Struthio camelus: one gene and its partners. The protein of the gene in region 3 interacts with the protein of the main gene of each other region in a pairwise test. Links are inferred from orthologs where the notes say so. Each region holds a gene or a part of one and is shown on either strand. Other genes may lie near its edges. The genes, in order: KATNAL1, RAD51D, CEP57L1 and KLC3.

Region 1 (7,020 bases), on a different chromosome or scaffold from region 3:
GTCTCTTGCTAAAGCTCTTCACTTCCTCAAATAGGCAGGTGTAACTGTTTACAAGGTCACACCATAAACCTGACAGAGATGTGATCTAGGGTAAAACTAACACTTTATTTCACAGGATCCTATTTAATCCAGATCATTTCACCAACCCAGTTTACAGTGCCACCACATAAACAGCTGTACCTGCACAAACGACAGAGTGATAAGCAAAAGCAGAGGGCAAGAACAAGCGCTGAGGGGCGAGGACCTGTTAAGTCACTTTTGTTGCCGAGGACAAGATGCAAAGAATAGCACAGAACAGCATTCAAAGCTGAAGAGGCTCCTCCAGATGATAATTCAGAGCAGAAGCCTAGCTTACATAGTCTGAATTGCTCCCTGGAGGAACCTCTCTCTCTCTTAGACTATGCAAGGCATCTAGGGAGACGAGCCTCCTAATTTAGGCATCCAAGTTAGATGCTAAACGTAGGCAGTATTTCCCCAGAGAATGTGAATGGGATGTTATAAAAATTTAAAATATGTTTAACCAAAGCTATTATGCCAATGTTTGTTCTTTTATGAGATGCTGTTTTCTGTGCTACTGACACACTGTTATGACACTATTGTGTTGCTCATTTATTAGATGCACGAAAAAATTAACAAATGCACATCTTCCAAATACAATCCAAATTTAAAGTTAAAAAAAGATTCCCAATTTTACACTCGTAATGGGAACCAGATTAAGTTGTTCACATGGAAACCACTGCATATACCCTATAGTTATCACATCAGAGGACCAGAAAGAGAAAAGAAAGGGAATTCACAATGATCACCACCATATTATTTAACCTTCTTGTTCTTCTTAAATATTTTTGTAGGTTTTCATTAGGCACTTTGGCTACACTTTCATTTGTAGTTATTTCTTGCCATTTAGTGTATTGCCCGTGTTTACTCAGACCTTTATACACATGCAGGGACTGAAGTTTTAGAATTTATCTATAAATGACAGAAATTGTTCTTCTAATACAGATGCATGGCCACCAGTGTGCTTACCTCCTCACTCCTGACTTGCACTCTTGCTTTTTAAGTATATACCAGCACACAGATTTTCACTGCATCTTCCTTCAAATATGACTACCTTCATTGCCATTGATCATAGCACTATTCAAAGGACTGTTCAACACAATCCTGGAAAGGATTATGATACGTTAAGAAGCGCTCTTTAAATATAACTGACTTCTATTCTGGATGACTGTGTTTACAGGAGTGGACTGTTAAAGTCAGTTCACCTTCTAGTATCTCACACTGCAGAATTGGAGCTAGGATGCCTAGGAAATCTAAAATGGTGGGCAAGCTATTAATATGTAATAGACTGAGCTTTGTTTAATCTAATGGTTTGGGCATCTAAACTGCGCAAAAAGCTGCACAATAGCTCTTATATTCGAAACTGACACTTTAAGTCAGAAACGTATCTATAAGCAAAGGCCACTAACATATACCAGCACGACTTAAATTTTTGGCTATGCCAGGTAACAGGCTGCATTGATACAACTGCTTGGTTCAAACTACTGAAGCCTAGTATCCTACAGTTGTGTATCCATTTCCCCTTAGCCCTCACCACTGCAATATATAAAGCAGCCTGTGTGTCACATATGACACTGCAGCTGTGCTCAGAAGTAGGTGCAGCAAGTAGCAGTGAGGGCAGTCAGTCATTTTTTGCATGCAGATTGGCCAGCCTGTTGCCAGATGAACCATTTAACAGCTAAGTTCTCCCCACCTTGTGCTCCATTGGGGCAACAGCAAGGCCCATCTTTTGTATCCTGCCACTTACTACTAAACTAAAAGGAACTCAATTATTATAACAACTTCCAACCTTTTGTCAGATGTGCCTGAAATTAGCCAATGAGGTTCGAAATGACTGCCGTGGGAAAGACTGCATGCAATTCCAGAAGTGTCACATCTTTAGCAAACCAGCCTAAAATCCACACCCTACCATGAAAGAGTTATATTGCCAAACCTTTCTCACTTAATTCTCTTGTGTATCACAGGAGATTTCTTCTTAGCTGTCAATTCTAGCAAACACATCATATTAACGGAGCTCTGCCACTTTATACTATCTGATGACCTGCCACAGGACTGGGATGATGTGAATGAACTTTTCTTTTCCTGTTCCAGTTTTCATGTAACAACTGCTGACTCCACTTTCTCTGAGGTTTCTTTCCAAGCCTTCCTTTCTGTTTGGACTACTGTAAGCTACTTTCTTATTCCTTCTCTGAACAGTAACACTCCAGCAGATGCAAAACGCTTCTGTATATTAAGTGTATAGAAAAAAGAAATATGACACCTTAGTTTCTAGTAATTCTTCTAATTTCTGTCAAAAGACTCAAAGCAGAGCTATTATTTTTTCAACCCACTGTGGACTTGCTTCAAGCCATGTCAAAGATCTACCTTCTCTTCTACCTGTTCTTTCCATTAATCTGGCATTGGCCTCTTCATCATTTTAATCTAAGAGGCCGTAAGTGTCGTGACAACTATTTCTCTCTATGGCTCCAACCATGCAACAAACATCTTAGGTGGGACTCCTCTCACCCACCTTTAGGCATCTGCACTGCAGAAACTGCTATTTACAATGATCACCTTCTATAAATATTAGGAAAAAAAAAAAGCACATTCAGGGCACAGTCCCCCTTGGTCAAAGGGGGAACTATATCCCTGAAGTACCTCTCTCTCTCTACCATGAAGAAAATCTAGAGGAAGCCTAATTCAGATGCACAAGTCTACGTAACAGATGTCTATCTTTGACTGGAAAAATACAATAGCTTGCGGCCAGCCCTATGCTGACTTTCTGGTTTAATTGAAATCTCATCTGAAAATCAACTGCTCTGCCTTGAAAGAGTCTTTATTACCAGCCTACAGAATTTTGAGAAGTAGCTTGTGTGAAAGATGTCAACTAAATCCTTCTGTGTTGCCACTTTGTCAAAATTTCTTAAGGTTCAGACTTTAAAGTTCTCTTCGAGGATAAAAAATGGTGGATGTGTCATACTAATAAATACCATACAATAAAAATACCTAGGCAGACCAATTACTATGCATGTTTACAAAGTAATATGCCTTTACTAAGTTGTGCATAACTTCTCTTGGGAGGTTAATGACCATGATTATGTAACATGCTCCTTCTTTTCCCTATTGTTTCTCTATTGCTTTTCACCTCCAATTATTAAAGCATTTCTCAATGTTGTCTGTAAGACCTTTGGTATAGACTTATGTTTGCATTTGAGTATTAAAGATTACTACAAAGGCAGAATAATTCCTATGGCCCAATTAAATATAATTGCAAGGGGAAGCGATGACAAAAGCAGAGGGCAGTTCATAATTCACAAGTATCTCATGTGCTTTCAGTCTTCTCTTGCAGAACTTTGTGTGGGAGGAGGCTACGAATGAAGCTCCCTGCTACAGCGCTAAATGCCCGTGCCAGCCATCTGAGTTAGATACAGTCTATGGAATTTATGCAATAATAACCAAATCAATTTAGAAACCAGTTTTGTTAATCTGACACAGACCCTAAGTGTGGCTAGCTTAAAACATGGCTGACAGTGTCTGCAATTACTGTGGCTTAAGAGATACTTTTGAACCAATTCAGATGTTCATGGCAAAAGAGTTACGCTAATTTATATCAGCTTCTGATTGAACTGACTAAATTCATAGAATAAATTGGAGAGAGAGGGCACACAATGCCAGCTCTGCGGGCAGAATTACAGGCCTCTGGGAAGGGGCATGTTAAGTCTCTGGGGTTTGGCTGCGAGTAATGCCCTCCTCTACCAACACAGCTGGAGCCTGTCTAACCACAGCCTCTGACACCCACCAACATCATGTCTTATCCAGAACTGCTAGGTTTAGGTCTTCTGTCAAAAAGAAAAAAAAAAGTAATCCATGGGAGAGAATATATTCATAGTAGAACAAGTTTCAGTGGTTTAAAGTGTCACCTCTCCCAAGGATTTCTTACCTTCTCTTTGCCTGAGATTACTGCCTCACAGCAGAGTTGGTGGAATGAAATATGTGCATGACTCTCGGCTGCTTCAATATGAGGTCCAGCAAATTAACTTAAATTGCTGATAAGGATGAGTTTAATGCCAGTTTTTGTAATAAAATGGATTAGAGACAGGAGTGTTTTCCATTCCAGGGACTGTTGTGGAGGCAGAAACCTTCAGCAGAGAGGTAGAACAAATAATTAGGGAAGTAATATATCTTACATCACTCCAGCCACATTTCCTGGAGTTCATCTGACCATAGCAATACAAAAGGCTATGAAATGGCATGCGCAAATCTACTGTCTTTCTCCTCATTAACAAGTTTATGAACTTCTATAGGCCTGTTAGTCCTTTCTCCTCCAGTTGTCCCTTCTCATGATCAAAAACCACATAGTAGTATAATTATGAGCTTTACAGTGAGAAAGAGCAGGAGGCTGGCCTAGAGGACCTCCTGGGGTCCCTTCCAACAGGAACTACCCTGTGATCCTTATGTATGCGTAGTATACAGGGTTAGCAGTCTGGAGAGCTGGTTCTTTTCCTGCTGCTTACTTTTAAGTTATAGTTACTTATTAGATCTTGGCAAATTGTGTAGATCATGCTTTCTGAATCAAACTTTCCCTCTGAGGAGTCCAACTAGAGTGAGACAGGTATTGCTATGACTGTAAGCAACTGCTTTTCAATTGGAAGTCAATGGGAATATGGTTACCCTATGTCACGAGGAAGCAGCCCATGGAAAGAAGAAAAAAACCAGAGGTTATGACTGAACAGCCAACCTTACTTCTCTGTGTCACAATTTCCTAGCTGAGGGATCTGATCCTCAGACAAATCAGTTCATGTGTTGGCTAAAGTGATAGGAGGTATACAGTCTTGTGGGAAGAGATATTACGGTGGTGCAAGGGACAGGCTGCTTGCAATCTGTTGGCCCTAAGAAGCCTTAGGCTCTCTAAGATCTGCATAGCATCTTTGCTTTTGGGTATGTGGAAAACCAGGAGGAATCATGCCTTCAGCAGGCAAGTATGGAGAAGTCTGGAAAAGGGGGAAGCCAGAGGGGCTCACAAAGGCAGAAAAATCTCCACGTGATTTTGAGGGAAGCAAGACATGCGCATATATGTGAGTGACACATACACACATGCTGCATTATTTAAGAGGCGTACTAAGCTCTTAGCTTCAATCCTTGCTCTTTCACTTATGTTAGTTAGCATTTCTGAGGCCCTTTTTGTGAAGTACCACCTAATGCTGCTACGTCAAGGTAACTAACGTTTACGTTTTCCAGTTAAGTTACATGTCATTATAGGGAGCTACCACATGGTCATTACTGGGAAAGTCTCAGAGTTGTCACAAGTGGCACAGAGCCATTGAAGTGGTGTTGGTGCACACGGAAACACAGCTCAAATCTGTTGGGATCTCACTGGGCTAATCCTGCCTCCATCACATGTTCCCTCTGTCTTCCTGGGGCCCGATGCAGCTTTGTGGGGTCAACTAATTCAGGAATTGATTCTGCTAAAAACTGTTTGGTTTTTTTTTTTGGAGAGGTATACCCAGCTTTCAGATGGTTCAGACCCTAGACCTACCTTACCAGATAGTGACTTGAGCATTACTGCTGTGTAAGTCACAGGAAAGCATAGCCAGGATCAGAGAAGAAGGCAGGACTGTCCCTTTTGGTAGCAATAAGGACACTGACTGACTCACATTAATTGTGAAATCATATCCTTTGAGAGACTTATTGTTTCCTTTATAAGAGACCCAACCGTTTATCTTACGTATGAGATGCTTGCTTCAGAAATGCTAGGTAATATCCATTCTTGGCAATAACATAAACTGGGTGCTTTTCTTTGATTAGGCTGCCTGTGACCACCACGTATCACCTGGCTCCCAAAAAAATGGGAAAATGGGAATCCCAAAAATCTTATGTGTTCAGTTCTTATATGAAAGCCATGACATCTGCTAGCAAAATGTGTATCAAGTCTCTGTGTGCCCATACAGAGGACAACTGCATATTTTGCCTTTTCTAGTCACTCCCACAGCTGAAGTGGGAAGAGATGAGTTTTGTATTGTGTATGTGAAAATCCATTAAAACTTAAATAAATAAAACCTAAAAAAAAATGGTAACCATAGAAAACTGCTGGAACTGCAGTTCGGCTGGTTCAGAAGCGTATCTGCATGCTGTGGTGTTTTATCACTTCTAAGGCTTACACTTTCCTCCTTTGAAAGGGAGAGTGCCACTTTTAACTGTGGGTCTTTTCTTAATGGACTGAAAGGGCGAGGCTCTCTTTCTTAACTCAAGCCAGTAATTTTAACAGAAATTATTCTAAGGATTCCTAAAATGTAGGCTTAACAGTGGAAACGGGGGGGGGGGGGGCAGGGGGCTTGCAACACCCATCGCCATCCTCAAAGATGAAGATGTGAAGAGCTTTTCCTTTGTTTGAAGCTCGCTGGAGAAACCACACCCTTTCCCTCCGCCAGGACAAGGTCACGGAAACTCTTGAGGGAGAAGGTGCGAGTTTTCTGCCTACGCATCCAGGCAGTGGAAGGCCCTTCACACGTTCGAGAAAGGTCAGGACTCGTCTGTTCTTCTCTCTCTCCAGAAAAACAAACAAAGGAAAAAAATCTCCGACTCCCTCTGGGGACCCACGAAAGCGCATGTGGAAGAAGCCTCCGCGGGTGCAGCTCCGGGGTCACCCCCGTGGGGACGGCACCTAGGGCCCCTCTTGGGAAGGGACAGCGCTTTGAAGGCGAGGCCACGCCGCCGGCCGGCCGGCCGGCCAGCCCTCGGCAGGGGTGCCGGGCACCGGGTGCCCTCAGCGCCCGCCCTGGGCGCGGCCGGGGCCGAGCTCCCCACGGGCGGGTGGGGCGCGCCCCGCCCCTCCCCCACCAACGGCCGCGCCCCCGCCTCGCAGCTGCGGCCTCGCGGCGGGGGCGGGGTAGCGGGATGCTGCGCCGCGGCTACGCCGTCCCTCCCCGCGCTCCGCCGCCGCCGCCATGGCAACCGGCCGTTGCCGCCGCCGCGCGCGCGCGCGCG
Region 2 (7,330 bases), on a different chromosome or scaffold from region 3:
ACAGCAGCCAGAACCAGCAGAAGTCTGGTTTCAAGCCTCCTGCCAGGGCTGCCCTGTGCTCTGGGAAAGGCTGAAGGCTGATGGAGGAGACAAAGCCAGTGCCTGCCCACAGCCTGTTTTCCCAGTGCTTTCCTCTTATCTGCACCCCATGCAAGCTGAAAGGGCCAACGATTGCCAGTGGCAAAATTGCTCCGACGGCCTCACAGCCAAGGCAGCCACCTGCAGCAGCAGGGTCCTTCACCACAGGAGCTACCAAGCTGGAAAGAATAAAGACTTCCTCTGTTCAAAAGGTCACACCAGCCTCACACCCCAGGTTTGGATCAGGTCCCTCCTTCCTGTGCCTGAAAGCCTGCAATGTAGGAGACCAGCATAGGGAGAAGGTGGGAACAGATGGGTTTTGCCAAAAGCTGACAATAGCTTTTTTCCCCCCTCCTCCTTGTGTTCTCATTAGAAACCATCCAATTAACCAAAGGTAGGATGGGGTGAGTCCAGGTTGTGTCCTTAAATATAGATTGCAGCATGGGTCCAGGGAGAAGTCACCTTCCTCATGCACTGTAGCATCATTTTCATCATACCTGTCCACTGCCCTCCTCTGTCCTGCTCACCTGTGTCTTCCCACTGCCAGGCGCTCCCATGAGCTCTGTCACTTCCCCTGTGTACAGCCCAGAGTCCAGCAGCTTGTCCAAACTAAGGGTTGAACACAAGGGTGGAACTATTTACACACCTTCAGGCAGAAGGGCAAGGGCATTGGGAAGCAGCAATCCCCAGTTATTCATCCCTACAGAGGTCCCTTTCCAACTGCAGATGAGTGGCCCAGACTCTGCTCCTTCCCCCCTTCCCCTGGGTCTCTCCACATTCTGGAGAGCAGCAGAAGGCCTGCAGTGTCATGTATAAGAGGACAGTCCTGAAGAGGAGAAGAACTGTGGTCTGAGAGCTCTCAAGTTGTGAACACCCCAGATTTCTCTGCACAGTCACTGCAACCACTCGGTGAGGCAACTGGAGAAAGGGAGAAATAAGTCACAGAAGAAGAGCACAACTTATTTCTGTGCCTGATCTAGATAATTTGGACCATCATCACTCAACCCTCCTCACAAGTCTATAATCCTCCTCTCTAGAGCGCTAAGGAAAGGGTGAAGGGAGCATGTCATCTAGCCTAGAAGTCAGACATGCTAATCACTTTCCAGGAGAGGTACAGGCTCTCAGGAGGACAACAGCAATGCCATTCCCTCAAGGGGCACAGACTGACTTGAGTTTGCAGCCATGGTTTGGGCAGGATATGAAGAATAAATGTCTTCGTTCTCATCCTAGCACCGCAGAGAGGGCTTCAAGGTGGAGGAGAGGCTGAGACCATAGGCAGGAGAGCTGCAGCAGCTCCACGAAGGAGCGCTGGCCATAGCACCCCAGGTCCGTTCCACCCTCGTCCCATCTCACCCTGCACAGTGCTTGAAGCACCACCTGGCTGAAACCCAAAGCCCAGGCTGGACTGTCTTTCCACAGAGAGTTTCCCACAGCCAGACCTGTTTGCACCCTGGGCAATGTACCCACCTGGCAATCCCAGTGGACAAGATGGCCGTGGAGCTCTTGAGCTCCTCATAGAGGTCTGCTCCATTGGCAGGGAAGGCCGAGAACTGGGCCAGGAGCACGCGCCTCACAGCAACCAGAGCCTGGTGGGCAGAGAGACATCTGAAAAGGCAGTTGAGGAAGTCTTGGGCTAGGGCAGTGCAGGGACAACACAAAACAAACGGTCTCCATTGCCCTGGGCAACTGTGGGTCCCACACGCTCCAGCAACCCACCCAGCGATATAGGGTGCTGATAGCACAGTCCCCATTCACAGCTTGGGCTCTTAAGCACAGTAGTAAAATACTGAGCGCTCAGCACAAGGCTGACTAACACAGAGCCAAGCACAACAGAGAAACCAATGACACAGGAGAATCAGAAGGTCCCTGTGGACAAGTCTGACCAAGCACTGAGTTGAACAGCTCTGAGCTCCCAGGTTAACGTAACAGGACTTACAAGTCTCCCTTTACCTTGTAAGACAGGGAACACTTCTGAGCAATGTCCTCCAGGTCTGACGATACAAAGTCCACCACTGCAAATAACATGAAGAACAAGAAGTTGGAGGCCAAACCATAACAGACCATCAACACCAAAAAGCTGATCAGCTCCTGCAGGAAATATCACCCTGAGACTGCAGGATGACCACATGCTTGGACAAAATCTACCTTTAGGCACTGACAGCTAAAACATTCCTGTGCCTCGGCCGATGCTCTGACCAGGTGAGCAGGATGCCCCGCGAAGTGGGACAATGGGGTTTTTCCTCTGAGGTGGCACTGGCATCACATGAGCCCCATCCATTAAGTTCATTGCAAAATGAATTAGGGAGAGGCTAATAAAAAATACTCCCTAGTTGTGCTCAAGAGCTGCCCAGGACCATTTGATAGCTAGAGTCAGCCAAGACAGGGCAGTTCTGCTAGTGCAGCAGAGCCTGTCTCAAGGGGCTAACGACTGACTCAAAGTGCCAGCTCAGGACATGCAGAGAAAGGCAAAAGTCACAGAAATTAGGGAAGAACTACTAGCCCATTTCTGCCCCAGGAGCCACTTTAAGATTTCTTTCTTAATTGAAACATGTACATTAGGCATTAAAAAATAGTAAAAGGCAGTTCTCACGGGGAAGAGGAGGATTATAGCATCCGTGGCTTGGGCACTCACAGGCTCTCGACCCAAGGCTCCCTTTAACAAGGATAAAGCGCTTCATCCTTTATCAGAGCCAGCAAAGAGCCCACCTGGAGCCCACCGGCAGCGGGGCCTGGCCCAGAGCGCTGGCAGCTACGAGGGAAAAAACACACGCAAAACCCTCAAACGCCTTTTAAGAGCCGCGCCCGGCGCGGCCGCTCACCCGTCCGGACGCCGCCCGCCCCGAGGAGCCGGATCGTCTCCGCGCCGAGGCCGGGGCAGAGCCCGGCCCGCAGCAGCGCCATGGCCCCGGCCGGCCCCGCTCCGCCCCGCCCCCGCGGCCGCCCCCGCTCCGGCCCCGCTCCGCCCCCGCGGCCCTTCCTGCTTCCCGCGGAGCCGCGCGGCAGCGGCCCGCTCACACCCCCGCCTAGCGGCTGCGCTCAGCCGGGCGCCAGCCCGCTTCAAAACGCGGAGCCCGACTTGAAAACCCCTCCTGCTTGAAAAGCAGGGTGACCCGAGCAGCGAAGGAAAGCAGAAATACCTCCACCTCCACCTCCCTGACCCCACCAGCCCCAGCAGGGGAGGCTCCAGCTGGCCCTAAAGGGCTGCTAGCACAGGTGACAGCGACGCCCTGGCTCCCAGGCCCTACACCACCCACCCCCACAAGAGCTGGGTGTTTTTGGGGGAGGGGGGTAAATGCTACTGGTGGGGGTAATGTTGGAGGAGTGTGTATTAGAGATTGGGGCAAGCATGTTTAAAAGTTAGTTTTAAAAGGGAGTTTGGTTTAAAAGGTAGGAGGCAGAAGTGAGGCTACTGTAGTCTTGCCTTGTAGAGTGCTTTGTGCTTCTGGGCAGAGCTTATTCCTCTCTTAAAAGTAAAGCTCACTTCTGGAGCTGCCTCTGGCTGTGATCTGAGCTCCTGTCTGCCCGAGCAGGCAGGGAGGACCTCTGTCAGGTGCTGTGCCAAGAGCTGTGAGTGTGGTGGGGCAGGCTGAAGGCCTCTCGCAGGAGCAGAGCTGCTGTGGTGTCCCAGTGCTTGCTGGAAGAACAGGTATGCACACAGGGGTGAAACTTTGGCTCTTAACCTCCAGGGGCTCTTGCAGAGAAGGGTCTGTGCTCTGTGTCCTGTTCAGCTACCCTAAACTTGCATTAGGGCTTTGGGGGTAACTCCAGGAAGGATCAAATGCAGCTCTGCACCAAGGAGCTGGTCTTCAGTTAACTGCCCCATTGAACCGAAGTGTGATACCGGCGTGCCTGGTACGGTGCACAGCTACTCCCGTGGCCCAACTGCTTCTCTAGAGATGCTGAAGTTCATTTTGGTGGTTTTGGGAGGGCAACTTAAACACTGAATGTCCTGCCTTTTCTTCTGCAAAACCTCCTATCAGAACACAGCTCGAAGCCGCGAGGTGAGGTGGGATCCGAGGCCGGAACGTGGCAGGAGCCGCTCGCGCGCCGATGGGCCTGGCAGGGTCGCTCCAGGCTGCTGCCTGAGCAGCAACAGCTCCTCCACACAGCTGGCTGCTGCCCTCCTTGTCCCCCGGCGATGAATTTCCCCAGGAAAAAATGCTTTTTTGCTTTCCCGGGTGAGGCCTCCAGAGGGCTCCCAGGGTTTGTGGCTGCACGTCGGTGCTGTGCAACTGCTGTCGTCCGCTTCGGCAACGGCACAACCTGGGGAGCTGCAGACCGCGGCCGCTCTGTCTCGAGCATAGGTAGCATCAGACAAAACTTTATTTTGTAACTTAATGTGTTTGAAGTACCTCCAGTATTGCTGCTGGTGAAAATGAAGCCTTTATCTGGGATAACTTAAGATATCCTGGATAACTTGCTATATGCCACAGGAATTACTGGAATGAAGAAAGCTGACCCTTCTCCCACACCTAAAGCAATACGAGGAGGTGCTTCCAACGTGTTAGTCAAAGCAGGCCCTGGAAAAGCTGTGGTGCCAACTCGATGCGTGGCGGAAGTGGCTTCTTCCGCCCTCCAAGAGGTGGTGTCTCTGCAGGCCCCGTGGATCCATCGCTGCGCTGCTCTGCTCTCAGAAGGTGAGGGCCTGAAACTTCTCCGCAAGGGGACGTGATGCAGAGACCTTCAAACCTCGTTGCGACCCCCTCCGGTACAGCTAACAGGGACAGAGTGGCGCTAGTTGGTAGACGTTGAAGGAGCTAGACGTGAGCTGATGTAGCTCGAGGACTGCTGGACAAAGCAGTCTTGTGCCAATTCTTTCTGCGTAAGACCCATAAGCTGTGACACAGAACACCAGCACTAAACGTAACCTAATTTTTTTCTTGGCAGGGCCCTAGAACGGAGCACATCCCCTGGCATAGCTCAGCTCTGCTCCATTGGAGCAACAGAGCAGTTACCAACCTGCCCCTGCTTCCCTCGGTCAATAGTTTCCCCAGTCCTGTTGCCAGTTCCCCCATCCGTTCTGTAGCTGGGACGCTGGCGGTCGCACTTAGGAGCTCGTGGCCTGCGTGTTGGAGGAGATCAGGCTGCAAAGCAAAATTCCCGATGCTCCGTGGCCTGAAAAATATGTAGGTTTGAAAGGCTCAGCTCTGATCTGGAGGAGTTCAGCAGTTCTCTCTCCTGGCCTGCGTCGCTCAAACTGAGACCTGAGGCTCTCGTTGCAGCAATGGGCCAATGCGCTCTGGGCCAGACCTTTGTGCTGGACTGCGCCCAGAGGGCTGCGAAACGGAGAGGAGGAGGCAGCACTGCGTGCGAATCAACTTTCTTTCCCAGCGCCTTCTGGAAGGTGCTGGGCGCTGCTGCAGCTGCCGGCCTGGGGCCATTTGCTCTGGCAGCTCAGCTGTCTCCCGCTTCCTTAAATAGAAAAGGGTCTGAGCACTGGGCTGGGGGTCAACTCTCCTGGCTGTTTTTTTTTTTTTTTTTTTTTTTTTTTTTTGGCAGGACCCTCCTCTTCCTGCACCCCCTGCCCGGCGCTGCTCCGCAGGTACGGCAGCGCTGAGGTTTGGTTCGGCGGCGGGGACGGGTTTCCTGCTGGCTGCGGAAAGACGCTTCGCTGGGGCGGGCAGGTGCCCCCGGAGCCGGGCCGGTCGCGGGTGCCCTGGCGTGCAGCCCCCCCTGGGGTGCTATATAGCAGGGGGAGAGGTGGGGACAGGCTGCGGTGACAGGCGACGCTGACGGGCCCCAGGAGCTGCCGGGTCCTGCCCAAACTTGGAGCGGGAGGTGAGGGAGATGGGCTCTTTCCCAGCTGTCCAGACCGTCCGCGGCGCCTGCTGACTTCGGAAACTTTTTTCTTTTATTAATTGACCCTGGAGGATCTGCAACGCCAGGAAAAACTTTTGGGAAGCCACAGCCTGGAGGAGCAATTTGGGCCTTGGTGTTTTTGAAGGCTTCAGTCCAGTAACCTGCTTTTATTGAAGTGCGTGTTAGTTAAATGTCGGGATCAGAGCGCAGCTTGGCTTGATGGCCAGACTCACCCGAGGGAGTACGCCAGCGACCCTGTCGTACGGGAGGCTGCAAACGGAAGGGGCACAAACTGATATATATATTTTTTTAAATTCCCAGGCAGGCTAAAATTTGCATCTTTTTTCCCCCCCTCTCCTCTCCAGATGGAGGATCCCATCCAGCTGAAAGAGGAGGGCAATAAATATTTTCAGGCCAGCGATTATGAGAAAGCCATTCAAAGCTACACTCAGGCCATAAAGCTCAACAAGGACAAGGCGCTGCAGGCGGTGCTGTACAGGAACAGGGCGGCGTGTTTCCTGAAAAAGGTGAGAGAGGGGCTCCCGGCTTGCCCGGGTGGTGCTGGCCTGGGGCAGGAGGGGAGCGAGAGCCGGGATGCAGGAGCAGGGCGGCAGCCGAGGATGCTCGGCAGCGATCAGCTGTGCTGTTAATAAAACCCTGAGAGATGGGGACCAGCAGCCGGAGGTCGCGGGGGTTGCTGGAGCACAGGCAATGGTTTACGGAGCATGGGCTCAAATCTGTTCCTCCCTTTGCTGTGCGAGCCTGGCATCCCCACGGCCAGCCGGCCTCGTGCAGGCGCTCCCTGGAGATTTCCAGGCGGTGGCGGCACTGTGTGAATAGCAAGAGAAAATAGGTGCTTTTCCAAGTCGCGTCTCAGCAGGAGCAAAGCTCACGCTGCGCAGGATGTGTCCCCCTCAGATGCTGCTGGGGGCAGAGGAGACTCCATGGTTTGGGTGCAGAGGCTTCTCTCCCGCTTGCCTTTTCCAGCATAAGAGAAGCAGGCATGGATCTTAGCGCAAAAAGAAAAGTTATTAGAATCTGTAGCAAAACCACCTCAGCTCCCTGAAGACCTGCCATGGGATTTCAGATCGCTTACGTGTTCCTGAAAAAGCGTGTTACTTTTCGTTTCTCGTGGCGTCTGATTAGTAAGTGGGAATAGAGAGGTCACGGTGTGCATCGGTAACGTGGATATATCCTGCTAATCGACTGCCCTGCTAACGAATCGTCCTTCCTTCCTGACTCGACAGGAGGAATACGTCAAGGCAGCCTCGGATGCGTCTCGAGGTAAGGAGGAGGCTGCTTGCAAGAAGTGAGCTGTGCTTGTGGGTATGCTCCCTCCAGCCTGCTCTCGCATCTCCTTTTGGGGCCCTGTGGTCTTCCTGCTTCAAATCCACTAATGCCCAAGTGCTTAGCTTGGTTTTGAGGCTACAGGGAAATTAATAGAGAAGATGCA
Region 3 (6,868 bases):
TTTGTGTCCTCTAATGAGGCAGGGCGGCAGAGGTTGGTTCAGATGTGCCTACCCAGCCCACACTAGGCCAGACCAGATTGCAGATGTACAGGCATGTGCTGAGAAGTAAAACAAGCCCAAGTTTTCTCCCACACCTTATTCTGGGGCTTTCTCGATCAGTCAGGCCAGTTTGTTAGGATGATACATGAATCTGGGCTTGACACCAAGGCTGGGCCTCAGTTCAAAGACAGTACAGAAGTAGCCTCTGGGTTTCTGGTGTCTCTCTGTAAAACAGGAGTCACAGAAGTTTGTTTCCTCAGAGGTCTACTGTGAAGAAAAAGGCATTAAATACTGTGAAGTGCCCAGATACTGTGGCAAGAAGCCAAAACCCAGATCCGAAAGGAAGAGGAGGGTGTAGGTTTAGAAGAGAGAGATCTCTCCCTACATATTTGCTAGTTTCAGTGAAGTAAGCTTTAACAAAATGGGTGTAAATGAAAGCATTCGAAGGAAAAAGCAGTTTATGCCAAGGTGCACAAGTTTTACTGTGTTATTACTAGTTCTCCAGTAATTGACTAAGTGAACTCTCCAGTAAAGAGCTCTCTTGTGACATACCGAAACTGGGAAAAACTTTTAAAAGTAAATGAAATACAGTTTAGCTCTTATTTATACCAGAGGAAGAAGAGAAAATGACATGAATGGAATTACTTTATATTTTCAAAAAAATAATTTTGCAGTTGGATATAATTTGCATACAGCTATAAAAGTCCTTTCTAATTAAAAAAGAGGGAAGTTGATAAATAATCAAGGAAGGAAATACTGAGACTTAAATCAGTTACAAAATTGTTTTACTTCAGCTTATCAGCTGAGTTAAAAAACTCAAATGCTGTAATTCTGGATGAGTTGACAGATTGTTTCCTTCGTAATCCTGCTTTTCTCTTACCCATTCTTTCGGAATCAAAACAACCATATTAACTTCAGTCAGTGAACGCACAAATGAAACAAATACACTCCCTTAACTTCAGGCTCTGATTAATTCTGCTAGTAGCCTTTGACCTTGATTTCCACGAAGTCTTGCAGTACATACAGAAGTTTGACCCAGTATCGGAAAACTGCAGAGATTTGATTTGAAAAAAAATAAAGCCACCTTCATCTCCATTACCAAAGTGCTACACTAAAACCTATAAAACAAAGAGCTGAAATCTGGAGTTTAGGCCTTGGAGCCAGTTTCACAATCTGTTTCCTGTACCAAGAGTTCATTTGCAGCCAGTGGAAAAAACAACTTCTAAAAGATAAAAGGCAGTGCTATGACTTTCAATCCATCTTACCATTCAGTGTGGGAATATAGCCATATTAAAGTCAGACATCAACACTTCTGTTTTGATTCTGTTTAGTATTGATCTCTAGTGTATGTATGTTATGCATTGTCAGAGACATCCAGCAAGTGTAAACTTGTCATAGGAAAAATGAGATATATCCAACTCCTGAAGATTAAAATTGAGACAGAAATAAAGCAAGCATATGTGACAGGCCTTTTCATAGGAACAGACGCACACTGTGGGGAGACCCACAATGAGTGACAACAGAACAGGACAGGAAACCAAAGTGGTAGCTAATATAAAAAAGAAGAGAATACAAAAGGCACTGGCAGTGGTATGTTCTTTGAACGCACCAGTTACGATGGGAGGAGGCCTTAGGTGCTTAGTGAAGACTCACATTTATTACAGCAGCGATGACTTGGGTAGATATATTGCTCACAACGGTGCCAAAGGCCTAGAGGAAGCACCTGCACGAAGCAGTCCAGGCCTGTTCACGCTACCAAACAATGGTAACTCAAATTCATTGCAGAATGGCTTTTCTTACAGGAGGGATGGGAAAATTAAAAAGAGATTGGTCTTCCTCGAAAGGTACAGGTAATGACAGAAGGACACCTATCTTGCAAGCTTCTGAGAAACTATGCCAGAAAACAAAAGGAATGTCAGTCAGATGAAGACATCGAACTCTCTGCAAATAAAAGAGTTTTGCGGAAGGCTAGTTTTTGTGAGCCAGCCCAAGTCTTCTTCCCAGAAATCAGAAGCCAATTCTGTGCTTTTCCATAGTAGGCAAGTAGCTTGTTCTGTATTTAACTTTGGTTTTGGGTTTTCAATTTTACAGCAGGAAACCTGTGCATGATAAACGTCAAATAATTATGCAAGACCACATAGACCCAATGTCCTGTTCCTTATTTACTTGCAAGTAGGCTTTTTGATTTCAGTATACCTGAAATTGTGGTTGCATGATTGCTTTAAGTTGAGAGCTGAAAACGTGTAATGCTGCCCATGTCTACACGTTTCCCTCGCCTCTTCTTTGCCAGCCTTAGTAATCATGCAGCCAAGAGGTGGATTGGATCAGGGAACTGACTTAGCTGGACATGATCAAAAAAAAAAAAAGCATCTATTTTCTGCAAAAAGGGAAAAATAAGGCCAGGGAAGCAGCAAGAACATCTCACTTGGTAGCAGTTGGCACTTACCTTGGATTAACAAACTGTGGAACTGTTGCCTAAGTTTAACATTAAAGAGATTTTTCTGTGGTTTTGTTTTCAGATTTGAAGGCACTGAATTTCACTTGCATGGGCTGCTTTTTTCCCTCGTGTGGACGTGTTTACTTAGCCTGTACCAAAGGCTTCTGCTGAAGTGTACATTTGACAAGCTTTTGTGATTGCTTAAAACACGTGTGCGTTTATTTTTTGGCCAATGCAAATTCCTAAAGTAAATTTACCCCCAGGACTTGCTGTCGCAAGTAATAAAGGACACCTTTTTTTTTTTTTTTCGTTTGAGAAATCTGCCACACGCCTGTAGAGAAAATCAAGGGGGGGGGAGGGTAGAAATGACTATCTAAACTGTCTCCCTTACCTAGAGGTTACGCGTTTCCTTCAAAACACACGGCTGACCCCACCGCAGCCCCCCCGGCTCACTCGCCAGCCCAGGCCTAGGACCCTGCCCAGCCCCGGCCGAGGTCCCGGCGCCGCTCCGGGCAGGTCACGGCGCCGGCCGCCCCTGCGCGCGTTGCCTCCTGGGGCGCGTAGTTTCGCCTCTGGGGGGGGGGGGGGGGAGACGCAGAGTCGCCCTGCTGCAAGACTACACGTCCCAACATGCCCTCCTGCGATAGCGACTCTCCGCTCTGATTGGGCCACCTGTAGCGAACGCTGAAGAGCGATTGGCTGGGAGGCCACGTCCATCATGTGGATTCCGCCTTGTTGGGCGGGGCTATCCCCCTTCCCCCTACCGGGGAGGGATGCGCCGGGGGGGTGTGAGGCGGTCCTGCCTCGGCGGGGACGCCCTGTCCCGCCACGGGAAGGAGGGAGGGAGCGGCTGAGGCAGGGCTGTGGCCCGCCCCGGCCCCTTTCCCTCCACGCCCGGGCAGGGGAGGAGGAGCTGCCCGCGCCGCGGGGTGGTGGCTGCCCCGCTCCCGGCCGGGCGAGGCGAAGCCCCAGCGGCGCTGCTGGCGCGGCGGCCGTTGGCGGCGGCGCCCGCCGGGGCTGAGGGAGTGACCACCCGTCCCCCTCCCCTCCCCTCCCCTCGGCTCTCCTCCCCCCTCTCCCCCCCCCGATGTGGCGCACGCTCCGCGCTTTCTGCGCGCCGCCGAGTTTGTTTTCTTTGTGGGCGGGTCCGGTGCCGGGAGCAGCTCGGCTCGGCGATGCGGCGGCCGCGCCGGTGCTGCTGCTGCTGAGGCGGCCGTGGGGGAGCCGGAGCGTGCCAGCGGCCCCCATGGAGGAGCGGGAGGGCGAGGTGCGCTGGGACGGGCTGTGCAGCCGCGACGCCGCTACCCGCGACGCCGCCCTGGACAACATCGGGCAAGCCGTGCTCCGCCGCAGCGAGACTGTCGCGCCCGTGGCGGCGGCGGCGGCGGCGCCTGCCCGAGCCGCCGCCGGGCTCCTGGCTCCCGCCGCCGCCCGGGACGGGCTGAGCGCGGCGCTGGCCCGCCTGCTTATGCTCTCCAAGCGCTGCCCCTTCCGCGACGTGCGGGAGAAGAGCGAGGCCATCCTCGGCAGGGTGCAGGTAAGCGCGGCCCCGGCGGGAGCCCCGCGGCGCCCGCCGCCCGCTCCGCAGCTGCCGCGGGGCACCGGGTGGGGAGGGAGGCGGCCGGCGGCCCGGGGTGCCGCTCCTCGCTGGGAGCGGGGCGCTGCGCTTGCCGGCGGCAGCTGAGGGGGCGGCCCGAAGCGCGGAGCCTGGTCCCCGAACTGGCGCTTCGGCTGTGCTTGTGCAGCAGTACGCGCACGAGAGGAGAGAAGTTTGGGAAGGAGTTGTGAAAAGGGAGGGGAAATGCATGAAGAAATCCAGTGAGAGCGCTGGCCGTGAATCGCTGCAAAGTGAGCGTACTGCTGGGACGCCAGGGCGTCCAGAAGGAGGTGCTAAAATGACAAACGTACGTCTCTGGTTCTGGTCCGCTTTACCAGTGCGGCGATATTAGCAGTTCGCTTAATACAAAAGCAGATTGGCTGGGAGGCCACCCAAAGATTTGGGTATGAACGTTTAAGACTGCTAAATAAAGATATAAACCAGTATGGGAATTTTGGGGCTTTTATGTTATAAGAGCTGGATGCGTTTGAAGACTATTAAAGCAGAGCTTGTCAAAATTCTTCTTCTGTTGTTGTTTATTGGTAAATAGTCTCTCCACTGGAAATAGTAAGAGCCAAACTATTTTTCTTAAAGCTCGTAGGCGATCTAACCAATAGCAGATTAAACTTGCTGGCCTTTCATGCTAAGAAAACTGTTATTTTTTTTACTTCCCCACCGGTTATAGCCTAAGTATAGTTACTCTTGTTGCAATTTTCTTGCTCATGTAAAATGTTCGTAAGGTCTTGAAATTCTGATGATAGACTTGTATCAAAGGATACAGTGTCACTTTTCTATTTTATTTTGTAGAACTTCTCAATTGTGTGCAGCGTGATAAATTTTACATACAATATAATTTAATTTATATAGTTTGGGCTGAATGGGACATTTCTCAAAGCAGATTTTTTGCCAAGAAAAACCATGCTGCGTTTACGGTTTATGTGGAAGGCTTGACAATTATACTACTTTAAAAAGGAAAGTTGAATGTTAAGTTGATAATTTAACCTGGCACCTTTGTATCAGCATTTTTCCTGTTGGAGATTCAAATGAGAAGACGCTATTACAGTGAGAATGATGAGTCACTAGAACAGACTGCTAAGGAAAAGACTTACTTTTATCAAGTATAAGTTGTCAGAGTCTATTCAAAGGCCAAATGGGTGGTGATCTCTGACCTAAATTATGGAAGAGGGCAGACTACGTGATCTGTTGACTCCCTTTTAGGTTTACATACATGAATTTACTAGCATGCTAAACTATTTTTCTTGTTTAAGAACTTTGTTAGTAGCGTTTTTAAATAGGCCAAAAAATTCTACTAGAAAGCTGCAGTTCGCTGCGTTTTGATTTAGCAAGTACAAGTTCACATCACATGGCCGTAGCTGGCTTGACTAATAATAACAAGAGTGAAAGAACTACACGAATATGAAACCATTCACATGTATGTGAGCTGCAGGAAAGGTCTTGCAACAAGTTAAGGAAAGTCAGAAATATATTATTTAAAAAAATCTGTAAAAGGTGCTTTTGTATGCCTTCTATCTTGTCTGTATCTATTCCCTAAGAAGCTAACAGCTTTTCTGACTTGAGAACGGCAAGTTTTAGTTCCTAGGATTGTACTCGTAAATGCAAATTCTTTTGTAATCTTTGGATCAGCATTCATGGAAGAAATAATCCAATCCAAGCATTCCATTTTGGATGCTATGGACTATTTTCAGACATGGAATGATTTTCTGTTAATTTCACAGCCAAAAAGAATTTTATTCAAATCTTTGCGATGAACGTGTTAGATAAAGCAAAATATTAAGCAAAATGTACTTATTCTGTAGAACTTGCAGGTTTTAGCAGGGTTTCTAAAGGTAAACAGGTTGGTAATATTATAATAAAATGAAATCCTGTTTAGAATAGTATCAGTAGTTAAAGGACTCATTGTATTACTTCATCTTCCTGTGTTAGGATATGAAATAATCTTTCTTTAAGTTCACAGTAGTATGTACCACTCTGCTATCTTAACCTTATTCCCTGTCCAAGCCATAAAAGGACAAAAAGCCCAGGGCAGAAAGAGGCAACTTTGAACCTAAAGGTTCTCCTGGGAACCAGTGCTGTCCACCACCCCTCTCCTGTGGGATGGTCTATCCCAAACTCATAGTCTGAGCCTGGACTGGACTGAACTTCTTTGTGGAAGCAGAATTGGGAAATGTGCTTTTTTTTTTTTTTTTTTAAATCTTGCCGCTATGCATGCAGGATTGGTCAGCGAGGAAATCCAAGATGTGAATTCCACCCATGGTCTGGTAGCTGTTTCCTTCTGGGTCTAGTGCCCTCTTGACTGTTGAAGTGACCAAGAAATACTTGGATGTGAGCAGGTCAGCTGCTGCCTTTTTAGCAGCTGTGTGTCTGGAGCAAGTTGGTGGAATGTACCATACGGCTGGTGTAAGTTGCAGACTTGGCAGCTGCCACTGTCAACATGGCTCCTTTTTTAGGACCCTAATTTGGCATCCCTGTGAGCATGCCTCTAGAGAAAAACCTCTAGAGAGTTTTTCTAGAGAAAAATTCCTCTAAAATACAGTCAATTCCTAAGCAAACTTACTTCTTTGCTTCCGATTAATAAGTAGCATTGCCTGTATCAGAATCTATAAAAAATACATTACTGCTTAATGTAGATTCCTGTGGCTTTGACTTGTATTCAGGATCTCTTATTGTGGGCTAAAATGTGGGGGAGTGTGTGTGTGTGTGCATGAACGTATATTTTTGCTGATCTCAGGAAAGTGGATAAAGCTTTAAGTAACCTGAATATTTATCCTTTCTCG
Region 4 (7,680 bases), on a different chromosome or scaffold from region 3:
GTCGGGCACGGATGGGGCACCTGGCACCTGCTCTAGCACCCAGCTCTGGCTCCAGCACCCATCCAGGCTCCAGCACCTGGCTCTAGCACCCAGCACCTAGCTGTAGCACCCAGCATCCATCCCAGCTCTAGCACCCAGCACTTGGATCTAGCACCCAGCTCTGGCTCTAGCACCCATCCCAGCTCTAGCACCCAGCTCTGGTACCCAGTACCCATCCCAGCTCCAGTGCCCAGCTCTAGCACCCACCACTCGGCTCTAGCACCCATCTCAGCTCCAGCACTTGGCTCTAGCACCCAGCTCTGGTACCCAGCACCCATCCCAGCTCTAGCACTTGGCTCTAGCACCCAGCTCTGGTACCCAGCACCCATCCCAGCTCTAGCACTTGGCTCTAGCACCCAGCTCTGGTACCCCGCACCCATCCCAGCTCTAGCACCCAGCTCTGGTACCCAGCACCCATCCCAGCTCCAGCACTTGGCTCTAGCACCCACCACTTGGCTCTAGCACCCATCCCAGCTCCAGCACTTGACTCTAGCACCCAGCTCTGGTACCCAGCACCCATCCCAGCTCTAGCACCCAGCTCTGGTACCCAGCACCCATCCCAGCTCCAGCACCCAACTCTAGCACCCAGCACTCAGCTCTAGTACCCAGCACCCATCCCAGCTCCGGTATCCAGCTCTAGCATCCAACTCCAGCACCTGTCCCAGCTCTAGCACCCAGCTCTGGCTCCGGCACCCACCCTGGCTCCAGCAGCCAGCGCCGTCCCAGCAGCCCACCTCTAGCACCTAACACCCACCCAGCACCCACCCGCCCGCCGCGTACCTCCGCTTCGTCCAGGCCCAGCTCGATGCCGTCAAGCGAGCGCCGCGCCAGCTCCCGCTTCTCGGCCAGCAGCTCCGGGGTGTCGCAGGGTGCCCCCGGCTCCAGCACCCGCAGCAGCTGGCGGCTCTCGGTGCGCAGCGCCTCCAGCCCCTTCACCACCTGCCGGGTGCCCGTCACCAGGGCGTCGGGTGCCGGGCGGCCCGCCGGGTCCCCGCCGGGTGCTGCCATGGGGCTGTCGAGCCTGCGGGAGCGGAGGGGTGGGAGGGGGTCACCGCGCTGCAGGGATGGGTGCTGAGATGGGCACGGGTGGCCGGGCTGGGCATGGGTGCTGCTTTTGGGCACAGGCGTCATGCATGGGTGTCATGCATGGGTGCCATGCACGGGTGACATCCATGGGTGCCATGCACAGGTGTCAGAGCCAGGCATGGATGTCACGCATGGGTGCTGGGCATGGGTGCCATGCACAGGTGCCAGTGGTGGGCATGGGTGTCAGGCACGGGTGCTGTAGGCGGGTATGGGTGCTGGGCTTGGATCCCATGCACGGGTGCCGAAGCCAGGCATGGATGTCTCTTATGGGTGCTGGGCACAGGTGCCAGAGGTGGGCACGGGGGTCAGGCATGGGTGCTGGGCACGGGTGCTGGAGCTGGGCAAGGGTGCCATGCATGCGTGTCAGAAGCAGGCATGGGTGCCATGCACGGGTGCCGGGCACGGGTGCCAGAGGTGGGCATGGGTGACATGCACAGGTGACATGCACGGATGCCAGAGGTGGGCATGGGTGTCATGCACGGGTGTCATGCACGGGTGCTGGAGGCAGACATGGGTGCTGGCCCTGGATGCACGGGTGCCAGAGCCAGCCATGGATATCTTGCACGGGTGCAGGCACGGGTGCCAGAGCCGGGCAGAGGAGCCTGCACCCAGCAGGGGTGCGGTGCCCCGGGGCGGCTCTGCCCGGGTGATGCGGCCAGCGTGCCCACGCTCGCCCACGGGCGCCACGTGCAAAGGCCTCGTGCACCCACGCCCCAGCTCACGTGCGCCCACCTTGGCCCACACGTGCAGCCTGGTTTTGCACACGTATGTGCACGCGCAATGCCCCCCTCCCCCAGCCCAGCCACCTGGCCTGGCACCATCTCCAGGCTTGCACGCTCGCGTGCATACTCTCAGCCCTCGCCCGGGGCTTTGCACAAACCCGGCTTTGTGTCACCCATGTTGCACTTGTGCGTGCACACAAAACCTCGACTTTGCATTCGCATGTGTGCACACAAGCTAGCTTTGCACACACAATCACACGCCCGGGCGTGCACAACTGGGCTTTGCACACACAACCTGCCTTTGCACTCACGCGTGCATGCCCCACCTGGTTTTGCAATGGTGCACGCGCACTAAAACCGGGCTTTGCACTCGCACGTGCACGCCACCAGGCTTTGCACGCGCATGTGCCTGTACGACTGGGCTTTGCACGCACAACCCAGCTTCGCACGCCCACGGGCCCACACACCCGGGCTTTGTGGGCAGAGGCACATGCGTGTGCCCCCCCCCCACTTTGCACGTGTGTGCGCGTGCAAACGCAACCCCCCCCTTCTTGCACACCGGTGATCACACCCGCCCCCACCTTTTGCGCACCCTTGCACGCCCGCGTGCACGCGCCCCCTCCCGTGCACGCGCCCCGCCCCACCCCCGGCAAGCGCATGCGCACACGCGCCCATCCCCCTTGCACGCGCGCCCCCCTCCCTTCGCAGTCGTGCGCATGCGCACGCGCCCCTCCCCGGCCCCCCCTCCCGGCCCCCCCCGCGCGCATGCGCACGCGACCATCCACAGCCCCCCGCCCCTCCCGCGCGCATGCGCCGTGGGTCCCCCCGCCCCGCCCCGCCCCGCCCCGCCCCGCGCGCGCCCCCCGGCCCGGCCCCACCGGCGGTGGCGGCACCGGGCGGAGCCCCCCGGTCGGCTCGGGCCGAGCCAGCGCAGCGCACCGGGAGCGGGAGAGCCCGACGCCCCCCCCCCCAACCCGCTCCCGGACCGGACCCCCCCCACACACACACACACCTCTTCCCCCAAAACCGGACACCCCCTCCCACCTTCAAAACCGGTATCTTCCCTCCCCACCCCCCCCCCGGGAGCGAAACCGGCGGCCCCGGCTCGAACCGGCCGCCCGTACGCACCTGCCGCCGGGCTCCGGCATCGCCGCCTCCCCCCCCTCCCGCCCCTCGGCCACCGCCGCTCACCTGCGGCCGCCGCCGCCCCACAATGCCCCGCGCGCCGCCCCCGCCGCCGCCATCTTGGGCCGCCTCAGCGGGAGCGGGGGGCGCCCTGAGGCGGCCCCGGGAGAGGGGGGGGCACCGCCGGGGTTAGGGGGCACCCCAAGGACAAGGGGACCCCCCCAGTGCTATGGGGCACCCTATTGGCACCCCCGTCCCACCCTGGGGGGCTCCGGACCCCCCCCCGCCCACCCCAGGGGCACCCAGACCCCCCCATACCCACCCTGGGGGGCTCCAGACCACCCCCTGCCCACTTCAGGGGCACCCAGACCCCCCCCATACCCACCTTGGGGGGCTCTGGACCCCCCCCGCCCACCCCAGGGGCACCCAGACCCCCCCATACCCACCCTGGGGGGCTGCAGGACTTCCCAATGCCCACCCTGGGGTCACCCATACCCACCCTGGGGAGCTCCAGACCCCCCCGTGCCCACCCTGGGGTCACCCAGACCTCCCCATACCCACCCTGTGGGGGTTCCAGGCCCCCCCATGCCCATTCTGGCGTCACCTAGACCCCCCCATACACACCCTGGGGACACCCAGACAGCCCCCCCACGTACACTCCGGGGGTACCGAGGTGTCCCTCACCCCCCCCACCCTGCCATGGGTGCAGGTGCCCTGCCCTGCCTGGGGGGGCACCCACAGCCCAACATCCCCCCCCACCATAGCACGGGGAGGGGGGCTCGCCCACCCCTGGGTGCCTGGGGCCACCCGGCGGGGGGTACCCCACTCCCTGCCTCGGTTTCCCCCGCAGGGCCCCATGCGGGGTGGTGGGTGCCCTCACAGTGTCCCCGCCGCCTGGCCCTCCCGGTCCCCCCGTGGGGGTCCCCAGCACCCGCTTCCCCCCCGCCCCACCGCCCGGCCCGACACCGGATCCCCGCGGGTAACCGGACCCGGCCTAAAAATACCGGGTGGGGAGGGGGGGGGAGGCTCGTCCCCGGCTAGAATTGCCCTGATCCAGCGGATCCTTCCCCAGGGTCACGGCACCCGCTGGGTGTCCCCAGCACCCTGACCTCCCCCCCCAACCCAGCACCCACAGCAGGGACCCCACGCCCTGGGGGTGTGGGTGACATGGGGGACGGGGCGCTGCTGGCACCCTCCGCGGCTATTTTGGGCGTGGGGATGGCTTGTGCCACCCACCGGTGGCCTCCCCGGCCTGGGGACGGGGGTGCCACCGTGTCCCCAAGGGGCACCCGTGGACCTGGCGCTGGGGGAGGTGAGGGGGGAGACCCTTGTGGCCGGCCTCTCCTCACCTGGGTCTCCCCCTCTCTCTCCATCCCTCTCTCCATCTATCCCTGCCTCCATCTCCCCTCTCCCGCCACCGTTCCTCCATCCCTCCTTCCATCTCCCCATCCCTCTCTCCCTCTATCCTCTCTGTTCATCCATCTCTCCATCCCTCCTCCATCTCTCCATCCCTCCTTCCATCTCCCCATCCCTCTCTCCCTCTATCCTCTCTGTTCATCCATCTCTCCATCCCTCCTCCATCTCTCCATCCCTCCTTCCATCTCCCCATCCCTCTCTCCCTCTATCCTCTCTGTTCATCCATCTCTCCATCCCTCCTCCATCTCTCCATCCCTCTCTCCCTCTAGCCTCTCTGTTCATCCCTCCATCTCTCTCTCCATCCCTCCATCCTCTTTTCATCACGCCACCCATCCCTCTCATCCACCGCCACCTCCTGCCATCCTTCTCCCTCCCTCCTACACCTCCCTCCATCTCCTCTACCCCTCCGCTGCTCCCTCATCCGTCCCACCATCCCTCTCTCCCTGCCTCCGTCCCTCTCCCTTCCTCCCTCCATCCCTTCCTCTCTTCCTCCATCTCCTCCTGCCATCTCTTCTCCTCCCTCCCTCTCGCCATCCCTCCCACGCTCTGCCCGGCCCTCTCTCCTTTCCCTTCTCTCTCCCTCCATTTCCTCTCTCCATCCCGCCCTCCCTCCACCCTCTCCCCGTCCCGCACCCACATCCGCGTGTGCGAGGAGGGGGCGCAGCGGGCAAGGACCGGGGTGCGGGAGGTGGAACAGCGAGCCCTGTGCAGGGTGCCGGGTGCCCACGCAAGGTGCAGGGTGCCCATGCAAGGTGCAGGACACCTATGAAAGGTGCAGGGTGCCCATGTTGGGTGCAGAACACCCACTCAAGGTGCAGGACACCCATGTAAGGCACAGGGTGTCCATGCAGGGTGTAGGACACCTGTGCAAGGTGCAGGGTGCCCATGTAGGGTGCAGAACACCCATGCAAGGCACAGGGTGCCCATGTGGGGTGCAGGACACCTGTGCAAGGTGCAGGGTGCCCATGCAAGGCGCAGGGTGCCCATGTGGGGTGCAGAACACCCATGCAAGGTGCAGGACACCCATGCAAGGCACAGGGTGCCCATGTGGGGTGCAGGACACCCATGCAAGGTGCAGGGTGCCCATGCAAAGCACAGGGTGCCCATGTGGGGTGCAGGACACCCATGTGGGGTGCAGGACACCCATGCAAGGCACAGGGTGCCCATGTAGGGTGCAAGCTGCCCATGTGGGGTGCAGGACACCCATGCAAGGTGCAGGACACCCATGCAAAGCAGAGGGTGCCCATGTGGGGTGCAGGACACCCATGCAAGGTGCAGGACACCCATGCAAGGCACAGGGTGCCCATGTGGGGTGCAGGACACCCATGCAAGGTGCAGGGTGCCCATGCAAAGCACAGGGTGCCCATGTGGGGTGCAGGACACCCATGTGGGGTGCAGGACGCCCATGCAAGGTGCAGGACACCCATGCAAGGCACAGGGTGCCCATGTGGGGTGCAGGACACCCATGCAAGGTGCAGGGTGCCCATGCAAAGCACAGGGTGCCCATGTGGGGTGCAGGACACCCATGTGGGGTGCAGGACGCCCATGCAAGGCTCAGGGTGCCCATGTAGGGTGCAAGCTGCCCATGTGGGGTGCAGGACACCCATGCAAGGTGCAGGACACCCATGCAAAGCAGAGGGTGCCCATGTGGGGTGCAGGACACCCATGCAAGGCACAGGGTGCCCATGTGGGGTGCAGGACACCCATGTGGGGTGCAGGACACCCATGCAAGGCACAGGGTGCCCATGTAGGGTGCAAGCTGCCCATGTGGGGTGCAGGACACCCATGCAAGGTGCAGGACACCCATGCAAAGCAGAGGGTGCCCATGTGGGGTGCAGGACACCCATGCAAGGTGCAGGACACCCATGCAAGGCACAGGGTGCCCATGTAGGGTGCAGGACACCCATGCAAGGTGCAGGGTGCCCATGCAAAGCACAGGGTGCCCATGTGGGGTGCAGGACACCCATGTGGGGTGCAGGACGCCCATGCAAGGCTCAGGGTGCCCATGTAGGGTGCAAGCTGCCCATGTGGGGTGCAGGACGCCCATGCAAGGTGCAGGGTGCCCATGTAGGGTGCAGGGCACCCATGCAAGGCACAGGACACCCATGGAAGGCACAGGGCGCCGTGCAAGGGCGCGCGTGCGAGGGCCGGACGCAGCGGGCGCCTGGCTGGCCCAGCGCCCGGCCCCACCTCGCGGCCGTATTTCAGGGCCGGGCAGCTGCCGGGCAGGGTGCCCGCTGGCCACCCGCCGCCGCTGAGGCCTGACCCGCTCGGTGCAGGGGGGGCCTGGAGGGTCCCGGTGAGGCCGGGCCCATCGCACCGGGGCTGCCTGGGGCCCTTCTGCCCTCCCTGGGCCTGGTTTTACCCCCCTGGTCTTGGTTCCGCCCCTTGGTCTTGGTTTTGCCCCCTAGGCTCAGTTTTACCCTCCCCAAACCCCGGGTTTGGTTTTGCACCCCCCGGTCCTGGTTTTAACCCCCTGGGGTCGGTTTTCCCCCCCCGACCCTCGTCCCAGCTTTACCTCCCTAGTCCCGGTTTTGCCCCCCCCCCCCCGCCCGGTCCAGCTCGATGTAACCCAGTGGCGGGTGGTACCGGCCCCCCCCGGTACCCCCCGGTGTCCCGGGACCCCCCGATGTGCCGGACCCCCTGGTGCTCCGGGACCTCCCCCGTTTCCTGGACCACCCCGGTGCCCCGGACCCTCCGGTGGCCCCGGACCCCCCGGTACCCCCCGGGGGCGGGCCGAGGCGGGGGGGCGGCGCGGCCTCGGGGCTATAAAGGCCGGTGCCCGGCCCCGCTCCCCGCCGCCGCCGCCGCTGCCGGTCCGACCCCTCCGACCCGACCCGACCCGACCCGACCCGACCCGACCCGTTCGTCCGCGCCGCTCAGGTAACCCCGCGGCACCGGCACCGGTACCGGCACCGGACCTCTCCGGTGCTGAACCGAACCGGGCCGGAGCCCTCCGGTATCGACCCGAGCCGGGTCCGACCCCGCCGGTGCCGAACCGAGCCGGGTCTGGCCGAACCGGACCCCTCCGGTACCGGCCGGATTGCACCCCCGCCGGTGCTGAACCGAGCCGGGTCTGCCCGGACCGGACCGGACCCCTCCGGTACCGGCCGGATTGGACCCCGCCGGTGCTGAACCGAGCCGGGTCTGCCCGGACCGGACCGGACCCCTCCGGTACCGGCCGGATTGGACCCCGCCGGTGCTGAACCGAGCCGGGTCTGCCCGGACCGGACCGGACCCCTCCGGTACCGGCCGGATTGGACCCCGCCGGTGCTGAACCGAACCGGGTGCG

The links.
Region 1: the proteins of CEP57L1 (region 3) and KATNAL1 interact in binary tests that used the Homo sapiens proteins (3 or more experiments, as listed by UniProt). The two-hybrid records come from large-scale screens. The link is inferred for Struthio camelus from reciprocal best matches to the Homo sapiens genes CEP57L1 and KATNAL1.
Region 2: the proteins of CEP57L1 (region 3) and RAD51D interact in binary tests that used the Homo sapiens proteins (3 or more experiments, as listed by UniProt). The two-hybrid records come from large-scale screens. The link is inferred for Struthio camelus from reciprocal best matches to the Homo sapiens genes CEP57L1 and RAD51D.
Region 4: the proteins of CEP57L1 (region 3) and KLC3 interact in binary tests that used the Homo sapiens proteins (3 or more experiments, as listed by UniProt). The two-hybrid records come from large-scale screens. The link is inferred for Struthio camelus from reciprocal best matches to the Homo sapiens genes CEP57L1 and KLC3.

Annotation. Positions count from the first base shown.
Region 1 is NC_090942.1:199,542,167-199,549,186, forward strand, and holds the start of KATNAL1 (katanin p60 ATPase-containing subunit A-like 1), read left to right. Parts: upstream 1-4,005; 5' UTR 4,006-6,554; intron 6,555-6,921; exon of another isoform or gene 6,922-7,020. UniProt on the Homo sapiens protein: Regulates microtubule dynamics in Sertoli cells, a process that is essential for spermiogenesis and male fertility. Severs microtubules in an ATP-dependent manner, promoting rapid reorganization of cellular microtubule arrays.
Region 2 is NC_090957.1:14,879,341-14,886,670, reverse strand, and holds the start of RAD51D (DNA repair protein RAD51 homolog 4), read right to left. Parts: upstream 3,017-7,330; 5' UTR 2,980-3,016; coding exon 2,898-2,979; intron 2,091-2,897; coding exon 2,029-2,090; intron 1,665-2,028; coding exon 1,546-1,664; intron 688-1,545; coding exon 606-687; intron 1-605. Other genes in the region: UNC45B (protein unc-45 homolog B), read left to right, coding at 4,624-4,715, 5,578-5,620, 6,243-6,404, 7,125-7,161. UniProt on the Homo sapiens protein: Involved in the homologous recombination repair (HRR) pathway of double-stranded DNA breaks arising during DNA replication or induced by DNA-damaging agents. Bind to single-stranded DNA (ssDNA) and has DNA-dependent ATPase activity.
Region 3 is NC_090944.1:59,945,194-59,952,061, reverse strand, and holds the start of CEP57L1 (centrosomal protein CEP57L1), read right to left. Parts: upstream 3,011-6,868; 5' UTR 2,868-3,010; intron 1-2,867. Other genes in the region: SESN1 (sestrin-1), read left to right, coding at 3,564-4,013. UniProt on the Homo sapiens protein: Centrosomal protein which may be required for microtubule attachment to centrosomes.
Region 4 is NC_090957.1:1,405,648-1,413,327, forward strand, and holds the start of KLC3 (kinesin light chain 3), read right to left. Parts: upstream 3,006-7,680; 5' UTR 2,996-3,005; coding exon 2,976-2,995; intron 1,061-2,975; coding exon 820-1,060; intron 1-819. UniProt on the Homo sapiens protein: Kinesin is a microtubule-associated force-producing protein that may play a role in organelle transport. Plays a role during spermiogenesis in the development of the sperm tail midpiece and in the normal function of spermatozoa.